2 linked regions of the Drosophila melanogaster genome follow. The protein of the gene in region 2 interacts with the protein of the main gene of each other region in a pairwise test. Each region holds a gene or a part of one and is shown on either strand. Other genes may lie near its edges. The genes, in order: CG17549 and CNPYb.

Evidence for each region.
Region 1: the proteins of CNPYb (region 2) and CG17549 interact in a two-hybrid assay, tested with the Drosophila melanogaster proteins (one large-scale study listed by BioGRID).

What each region holds. Positions count from the first base shown.
Region 1 is NT_033779.5:19,386,402-19,392,205, forward strand, and holds CG17549 (uncharacterized protein), read right to left. Parts: upstream 3,675-5,804; 5' UTR 3,535-3,674; exon of another isoform or gene 3,526-3,534; intron 3,399-3,525; exon of another isoform or gene 3,364-3,398; intron 2,169-3,363; 5' UTR 2,134-2,168; coding exon 2,073-2,133; intron 1,913-2,072; coding exon 1,639-1,912; intron 1,536-1,638; coding exon 1,461-1,535; intron 1,369-1,460; coding exon 1,137-1,368; intron 991-1,136; coding exon 769-990; 3' UTR 649-768; downstream 1-648. Other genes in the region: CG17544 (uncharacterized protein), read right to left, coding at 4,268-4,818, 5,037-5,382, 5,438-5,563, 5,665-5,804.
Region 2 is NT_037436.4:19,094,338-19,098,406, forward strand, and holds CNPYb (canopy b), read right to left. Parts: upstream 1,881-4,069; 5' UTR 1,806-1,880; coding exon 1,140-1,805; 3' UTR 553-1,139; downstream 1-552. Other genes in the region: MESR6 (misexpression suppressor of ras 6), read left to right, coding at 1-227; Naxd (NAD(P)HX dehydratase), read right to left, coding at 2,315-2,890, 2,969-3,295; CG14079 (uncharacterized protein), read left to right, coding at 3,826-3,873, 3,932-4,069.

The sequences.
Region 1 (5,804 bases), on a different chromosome or scaffold from region 2:
ATATTTTTTATATTCAGCTTTGATGATCGGCGTGGAACCTTGCTCAAGAAAGACCCAGTATATAGTTGCCATGTACGTCTGCCGACATTATCACATTTGCGATTAATTACATATATGTATACAAATTATGTTTATAGGTGGGAACACAATGCTAATGAGCTCCCATTGAACTTAGAAAAAACTGCGAGCAAGGTGAAGGAATATATAGAAAAAACCTTGAGCTTCAAATTAAATTCAGGAAGTACTAACATAGAACTATCTAAGTGGTTATGGTGGGTTTTCCAATTTTTGTCAGCATATTGTGGTTACGAAAATAAAAAGTCGGAAATAACAGAACAGAATAATATAGAATCAACTTCAATGAGATAGAACACTTCCGGTCACCTTTGATACGACCATCCGTCCAATACAAAACGAAAACATTGAAACAAATTAAGTAAATCTAATCTAGCAAACTGAATTGTAAATACTAAGCATTTATATACCTAGCAATGCCAACAGCAACGTCAAAATCAAGGTCAATATACAAATGTATATACAAATTTGCATTTTTTTTTTGTTTTGCCTAAGCCAGAAAGGGAGAACGAAACTTTCTAATTAAAGAAAGCTTCGCTTTAAGCCCCCGCCGATAAGAAAGTCCGGCAATTTGACAATAAAATACACGTATATTATTTTTATATTTTATACATATTCAATGGAAGCGGTTTGCTTTGTCAGACCGGAGTAAATGTTAGCCTAGCCACCAGTGGAGGGTCTCCGCCGATCTTTCTAGGAGTGCACCGAATACGAGGTGATCTTTCCGTTGTCGTTGACCGTGGTCTGGGCTCCACGTCGACTGGTTCCGTCTCCGTTGCTGTGGCTGAAGGACGAGACCGAGACGCCCTTGTAGCCACCACCGCTGCCACCACCTCCTCCGGAGCTGCTGGAGCTGGAGAACGAGGATCCACCACCGCTTCCGCCGCCAAAGCGATTCACAATGTTGGGAGAGGCCTGAGAAAGAGTTAAATCAGCCATTTGATTATTTGAGCTTATAACCTATTTATATAATATTTTAATTACTTTTAACTATTCACAGATACAACAGATACTTTAAATGTATATCCACTTTGACCGCACAAGGCAGTTGGATTTCTTACCGGATTGGATGGGCTAATGAAGGCCGTCTGGCGATAGCCATTGGAACCGATAGATCCGGAAGCTGATGCATAGCTGGGTGCATAGCGATGTGAGTTGTAGGATCCCGATCCAGATCCAGACCCGGATCCAGAGCTGGAACTGAAGCTAGAGCTGGTGCCTCCTCTGTACCGATTCTGGCGCACTAGATTGTCGTGGTAGGCCTGTTGAGCGGCGATCTGTTGCTGGATGCGACTGCGCACAAAATGACATTAGAATAAGGAAAAACATACCGTGATACCGTATTAGTGATTGGGATTAGTTAAGGACTAGCTACTTGTATTTACATATCGTTGTCGTTGACAAGAGATGCATCCGCGGATGCATAAGCATTGCCAGCCGTGGCCAGACCAGTTATAGCTCTACAAGAACAGATATATTCAAGCGTTAGGTTTACCCATAGCCCGCCGTATCACTACCCAAAGATCCCAAACAATCTATCCCCTGGATATGATCGATGCTCACTGTTGGTTGGCGAAGTTCTGGGCCAAAATATGATTCGTCAGCTGCTGGTGGAATAGATACGGATCGATGATGCCAAAGTTGGGTGAAGTGCCGCCATAGTCATCGTAATCGTAATAGCCACTACCGCCACCACCACCGGTACCCACATAGCTGCTGTGTCCACCGCCACTGTTATAGCTTCCCGTATAGCCACCGGCTCCTCCTCCACTGCTGGCATACCCTCCGGCGTAACCGCCGGCATATGCTCGTCGTCTGCGGGTCGGAGCCGTTTTTGCTGAAATGGAAAACATCATGTGGATGATAAAAAATATAGAGCTTGAAAGGTAAATTTAAATTTAAATTTGCCTTAATTTATTGTTACTCGTATGTATAGCTTCATTAGCCTATATTATTATTATTACGGAAATTAGGTGCACATTAGTGGGTTCTCTTACCTCCCGATGACTCTTCATTCAGAGCACTCATCACCACACAAATAAGTAGAACCTTCCACATATTTTTATCTGGGCATTTGCGATTGAACTTTGGAGCTGGGGGTGTAAAGAATAAAACAATGGAATCATTAAGAACTGGTTTGGAAATTAGTGTAAGGGAAACTTGTTTGCGAAACGATGCATATTTCGAAGCCTACGAAATTTAATGTTTTTTAAACGGAAGCGCGAATTGATTGCCTGACATATAGACGTCTAGATGGCTTAGATGGCTTAGATGGCTTATATAAGATCCCATCTAGAGGTGGTGCTCACAACTGGGAGCTACTGCCTCATTGCCTCATTGTTGCCGATACTTTCACAGCCATTGTCATTAGCCGCTCGGGGCAGAATCCATAAATCCGCTTGCACAAGCCGGTAATATGCGCGATTGTAACGTGCGGAATAGGGGATGCACTGCTGCCAGTAATCGATTCTTGGATGCCTGGGCGAGGGTCATTGGCTTCACTGCCTCCCCGTTCAACTGGACACGAAGCTAAAGCCTCATAGGCGGCAATTACAACCAATTCATATATATTTCTCTGGCCCAACCCACAACTAATTGCCCTTACACGATTTTCCCATAATGAATTGGCGAAAAGAAATCAGAATCGGGGGCACGGTTTTGGGGGGAAGAAGGCCTGGCCATCCGCATCGAAAACAAAAAACCCCAAAATGTAAATTAATGGATCTCCATATGACTGTGTATATTATTGACTCTCAATTCGGCAAACGAGAGAAAGAGAAGAACGAACCAGTTCTCACTAATTTGCTCGGAGTTTAGAAATGTATAATGAATATTTCAGTTTGTTTTGTTATATTATTTTGATTTCCCCCCATTTGCCAGCCATCTGTAGTATATTTTCGATGCGCCATTTATATTCCAATCTGTCCAACGTTTTGCTTGTCATTTCTTACAAAAGTTTATTAAGTTGGCATTAAGAGCGGGGATTTTTGTTCGCACCAACAATTGTTGCGATCTAATTGAATAACTTTAAGGCTCAGGAGCAACCGGTCTAAAGATGATTTATAATTTTTGTTAATACACCAAAATATTAACAATTAACAGCTTTGTGCACGGCTCGCTTGAAACAAAGGAACTCGACTGAGTAGCACTCCCGATGAACGAACGTGTTTTGTCATTTCGCCCCTGACTTTGATGATCACCGAATGGTTTTAGTACGAGTATGAGCTCGCATACAACATCATTAAAATCTCGCTGATAAGAGCGACTAATATTAAAAACACTACATACACTTCCCAGTACTAAACCAAAACTGCGCAACGAATTGGCAAAACTATCGATGTTATATGGCCGTGATCACCGGGAGAGGGGATCGATTTCCATATAGATAGAGATAGAGAGTCCCACCGCAAGATAGAGATACACAAACACAAACACTGCGAACTCACTCACTTGACTCACTTGATTTGTTTATGATTCGGCGTTAGGTTCTTGACCAGTTTTTGTTTTTCGATTTCGGTTTCGGATTCGGACTGGGATTCTCTCGCACTCGCCGATCTTCTTCACCGATCGACAACTGGGCAACGTCTGAGTCGAAACAGGTGGGCCCAGGTCCTCTTATAAACGATCGGACACCTGTGGACTGCCCACGATAATGATGACGAGACGACTAGAGAGTGGAAACGCTTACCGAATCACTCGAATCGGGGATTTATTATAAGGTCTTCTAACTGGGATGCTCACTGGCCGAATGATTATAACAAAAAGAAATAACTTTAATTTTTACTTCATTTATAAAATCATTTCATTTTTATGCAAGGCTTAACTATTTCTCCAATCCATTTTGGCCCAATTAAAATTACCTATATTTATAGATACAACATACACAACATTGTAACGCAAAATGATTCAATATTTATTTAACTCGCTTATATATACATATATACTTTCATATCAACTCGTTTAATCGTAATCTAGTAACAGATTTCATCTTAAAGTACTCGAATGTGTGTTATAGTTGGTACATGATTAAAAAAAACCTTTCACTGGGATCAATGTAGTTGGCCATTATACCTGATTATCGAGAGGCAACACCAATTCCAATTTAACTTGGTTTTCTACGCGCCAAGCGAACGCTTCAGTATCGAAGTCAGGCACTTGGTAACTAGGTTCTAATCCTCGGTGGTAATCCTCCTCAAAGCTTGGACTGGGCCTGCGGAATGATTACGTCACGCCACCAGGAGGGTCGCTGGAATGCCCCCTCATTGGTCATAAATTCGTTCTGCAAGTTCTCGTAGAGAAGTCCATCCGCCCGGGCGATGACCGAATTCAGTGCGAAATCGGGCGGCGAAATGGCATCCGCTACGCTCACGGCCACGTCTTTCAGTTTCAGGCAGCTGTCCAGCAGCAGTTGACGCACTGCAGCCGAGAAATCCCGCCCAGCCGCAAAGCCACCCACATAGAAGGTGGTCATGTGCTTCTCCAGCAGCCACATGGCATACACGTCGAACAGCAGGCGGAGTACGGATGCATATGGCGCCTCCACTGTCAGTGTACTAACGTGATCCACATAGCGCGTCAGAGCATAGTACTCCGCGTAGGCCAGGGACAGTTCCCGAGCTCCGGCCACCTGGGAGTTGTTTCTCGCCTCGAACTTACTGCTGCCCGCCGCCAGCTGACCCTCGATGTGAGCTGTGGTCTTGGCCATCAGGTGACACAGCAGCCACTCGTAGCACCTAAGGGAGACTGAAGGAAAACGAACTCTTTAATCAAACAATCATAGTACCTTAATAATATTTTATCTCAATTTAACCACCAATTTAGAAAATAGCTCATGAACGTCTCTCTAAAAACTACTAAGATACTTTTTCTATCTTTAAGTTCTAAACTCAATAGTTGTTGAAATTTGAAGGACATCTATCTTTTTTGAAACATTTATGACTAGGAGGCTCTTATCTACTTACACTGCCAGCTGGCTATTGGAGTTTTCTGCGCCAAGGACGCGTAGTTGAGAGCCAGCAACTCGCTTCGGCGCTCCAGGAACTTCACACTGCCAATGGGTGTCTCCAGTTCCTTGGCGCTCCACTGGCGAAGCAGCCAGTTGGAGGCCTGTTGTCCTAGGACGTTGTTATCGCCCTCATAGGTGCACAGTGGGTCGTGGTCGGTGCGCATCTGGCCAAGCTTAGCTGCTTGCAGATAGCCATGTCCTCCGCAGGCCTCTCGCGCTTCCTGGATGGCATCCCGTGCTGCCCAGGTGATCAAAGGCTTCGACGACGAGATCAACGCGTGGATCTCCGCAGCATTCTGGGTCTAAAATATGGCTTTCATTAGATGTGCTATTAGCTGCAATATAAAGATAACCCACCAGAACATCAAATCCATTGGAATCCGCCTGGGAACGCGCTATGATCTCCATATAGGTGCTTGTCAGCTCTTCAGTGGCAATTTTTTGAACGCAGGCAGCCGCCAGATAGGGAAAGATGCGATATTGCTGCGGATGGATTATATATATTATTCACCAATCAAAATCATAAAATATAATGAACAATAAGTTATTCCAACCCATTCAAATGGCAGAGTTATTTGACTTACATGCAGTTGATACTCCAGAATGGCCATTTCCTCGCCATGACGCTCCGGGCCAAATTGCTTCCTCACTGCGGAGTAACGAACTGCGATTACGGCGGCACTGCACAGAGTATTGGCCGATTCCTGCATTATGCCAATGCGTC
Region 2 (4,069 bases):
TGGAAACGTACTTTGCAAACTTCAAGCGTTTCTTACAGCGCCTGCCAGTTCCTCCAGTGGCCATTACAATGGCCCATTCCGCTCAAGATGACTACTGCCCCCAGGATCAGGTGGCATTCATTGAGGAATGCGTTCTACGCCTGCTTAAGGAGGTTTTTGGCGAAAGACTGCACGACAAAGCCATCCTGCACTATATGGACGATCCTTGGGATGTGATGAAGCTCTAAGCTTATGGATAACTAGGGGTTCTTTCGCCCGCCACTGCGAATTAGATTCTGAATTTACAAAACTCGTTTGGGCGGGAAAACTCCACGACTAAAAGATACCCGTAGTGATTTCGAATTAGAACCTAATGATGGAAAATCCAATACTAATTATAATAATATTTTTTACTTTGAAATATACGCGAAGTATTTATTACAGACAATTAAACAAACTCATTTAATGCAAATTGGGTATATTCAAAATAATTTGTTTTTAAACTTTGAAAGGTTTCGCGACGAGATACCTTTTAAACGACATATTAGGTGCCCCAGTAAAATCAAAATGTGTATGCACAGATAATCTATATTTAATCGTAAATACTAAATGTTAGTTATAAAATGTACATGTATTTAAGGATAACTCTCTTCCATTCAGTGCCGTAGGTTCCTAGAAAATGCGCAAAATCTCATTTATTGACATGGACATGGCATGAACACCTGAATTTCTGGCTGGGGGTTATGACTGGCCACCTCATTGAGGGCAGTCAACTTTTAATTGTCGACCCCAATTCGTGGCCGAAATCAATAAGCCAATGGCCCCAGGCGAAACTTTCAGTAGCATTCTGTGGCTCAGTCGTTGTGGAAGTTATACAGATTAGCTTGAGAGACATAGTGAGTTCACTTAAGCTAATTAAACACTTTTCGCTTTGTTCTATAGGTGGTAAAACTTAAAATGATTTCCATTTCGAAAAAAAGTAAGATCATTGGAATTTAAGTAACTACTACATTTAGTTTGTCAATGCTTGAGTTCATTCAAAAACTAAAATTTGTGTTACTTTTAAAAATTGCATCGACAACAGCTGCACTACATCTACATTTTTCGACATGGAATTACAATATGGTAGGGATTCCTAGGATATACTTGGATTATTTGGCTCACAGCTCCTCCTTGTCGCCCTTGGCTTTTTCCCTTTTGGCCTTTTTAGCCTCCGGAGGAGCAAGCTGCTCCTTGAGGCATTCCCTTTCGGCCTTTTTCTTGAGCACATGGTCCTCGCAGAGATGCTTCTTCAGTGACTTCTCATCCTGGTGCTTAAAGTACCATTCGCTGATGGTTTCCTCGTACTCCTCCAGTAGGTTTTCGCACTGGGTCTTCATTTGGGTGACCTCCACCGGGGGCTTGTCCCACAGCTCGTAGGGTATTCCCAGATCCACCTTGACGCCCTTGTCCACAAGGCCATGGAGCGTCTGGAAGGTCTGGGACATACCTTTGGCGAATCTCGTGCTGTCAGAGCGTTCCTTGTGCAGATTGTACTCCAACACTCGCTCGCACACGTTCTCCAGGGACTCGAGCAGTCGCAGTTCGCTGCGCCGGTATTCAGTGCGCTTCTTGGGCTTCACATCGTCAACGGAGTATCCGATTTCGATGACGTCGTGCGACTTGCCGGTCTCTCCAAGTCGAGCTTCCAATTCGGTGGCCAGGATTTTGCAGGCTTCGCAGCGGTTTGCGTAGCGAACGCCTTGCTCCTCCTCGGGCGAATCAGCTCCGGCTAACTGCAGGACGACCCAGAGTGTTACAAAGCCAGGCAGTCTTTTGAGGAGCATTTTCACTGCTTGATAAATTCCAAAAAAACAATAATAAACCTGACGTGGAAATGCCGCTCGCGAGAAGACCAGTGCTGCAAAACACCAACAACCGAACGGAACCGACGACTTAGCTTTTTCCCGCCAATACCTTTAAAATAATCTATATCAAATCTATTTTCTTTTTTATGATTTATTATCCTACATACATTTAAAAAAAACTTTTATTTTATTTTATTTGTTTATTAAAACAGAAGTCATGCTTAAACGGTTTATTAAAATTGAATCAATATGGTTTTATTATGAATGCCGAAACATTTTATCTGTAACAAGATGCAGCTTTCAAATTAACGAACCAGATGTTCTTACGTTGTTTAAATGCAATTAAAAAATTCCCATAACATTTCTATCCATTCCAATATGTTCTCTGTTAAAGACATTAAAAATCCCACGATAATTGAAAATTCGGTTAATGGTCGCCTTGTTTTAAAAAACAAACAGCTGGAATTAGTTCAAAGTCCAGTAAATGACTATTGAGGATCGCTGTTTTCGAACTCGGTCTGAAATACGCTGGGTATTTGATTGACCATGTCACTGGCCAGTAGGCTGCGGCCAAACTTTTGAAATGCAGCCGCGTTTAACTTTTTCACAAAGTAACTAGAGGCACATGCAGCTACCAGGGCGGGATTGGGTTCACCCGACTGCAGTGACCACGAGAAGAAGGTGGCCAAAGATCCGGAGAGCAGGTCACCTTGTCCACCGCACCTGCGACCGGAACCGCCGCTAGGCATTGAGTGAACTTCGTTGCAGTGAGGGAGATAGATCTTGTCGTTGGCGCCCTTCTCCAGGACAGTTACTCCGGCTCCCAGGAGGGACATTTTCTGGCGCGCCGCCTGGTCATCCTCGCCAAACAGTCTCTGGAACTCCATGACATTTGGCGTGAGTATGACATTCGGCTGTCCACAGATCAGATTCAGATTGTCGTTGAGCAGAAACAGTCCATCGGCGTCTATGACAACTGGTTTCTTGGTGTCCATGCACAGCTTGAGTACGTTGGATGCCGTCTTCAGGATGCCCGGCTCCCGACCCAGTCCAGGTCCAATAACCTTAACGATTCTAAATTTAGCATTTAATTGTATAAATGTAGCATATACGTATGTAGGTGGGGGGGGGGGGCTACTCACAACGACGTGAAGTCGCTCTAACCAGGGCGCTATTCTCTCCACTGCATCCACACAGTCTAGCACTGGATGCACGATAAGATCGGGACTGTAGGACTTGATAATGGCCGACGCATTTGAATGGCAGAACACATGCGCCAGGTCAGCGCCCACTCTTATCGAGGAAATGGCCGCGAAGTACGGCGCTCCGGTGTACTCCAGGGACCCACCGATCACTCCAATGCGTCCGTACTGTCCCTTGTGCTTGTTGTTCACCAGCTTGGGCACCACCGTCTTGAACAGAGCCAGCAGCTTGGGCAGGTGCACTGGAATATCCGAAACTGCAGCCATCTCTACCGGCGGCAATGGTTTTCTTTGTGGACTGTGCCCGCTGTTTACTATTGCTGTGACTAGTGATGCACATTGTGGTCGGGATTTCCTATCGGTTGCTGCTATCACTGTGAGAAATACTTTGTTCCCACGGAAGCCGTATTATCAGTAGTTAAAGCTATAGAAAATGAAAACATGGAAAAATGTGAGTTAGCTAATTATTCTAAAATAGATTTTTTTTAGTATTTTACTATCATATTTTTGTATTATTTCTTAATTAATTCAAAAACTATTCAATTCTTTAAGTACTCTTCACATTGTATAGTTACACTATACATTCTATACACATCACTTTCAACTCTTTTGCTTATCAATCAAAATTCCCTGCGTTATCGACCAGTAATCGACTTTGAAATTCACTTTCAACCGCTGCCCCGGCAACCAGTGGGCTCCAAAACAAAGAACCATGCGCTTTCGCCCCCCAATTCTCGATTCCCGCCCCAAGCAGTTGGCTATTTTCCGGCAGACTTTCACTTAGGATCAGGCAGCAAATGTCCCACAAGAGATTCTACGTAAAGTTAGATCTGCAGCTCCATGCGGTTTGTGGCTATGTCGATTGAAGTGTACCTGTGACATCAAGGCTCCTTCCATTTTCAGCTCACTTGTCCCGGTGTTTGGCTTTGTTCACACGGATATTTGGAGGCCACCATCAAGACCTTGGGCTACTACTTTCGAACTGGACCCATGGAGCCTCGCTTTCCGATGCTGTGCCACGATCAGTTCACGATGGAGGGA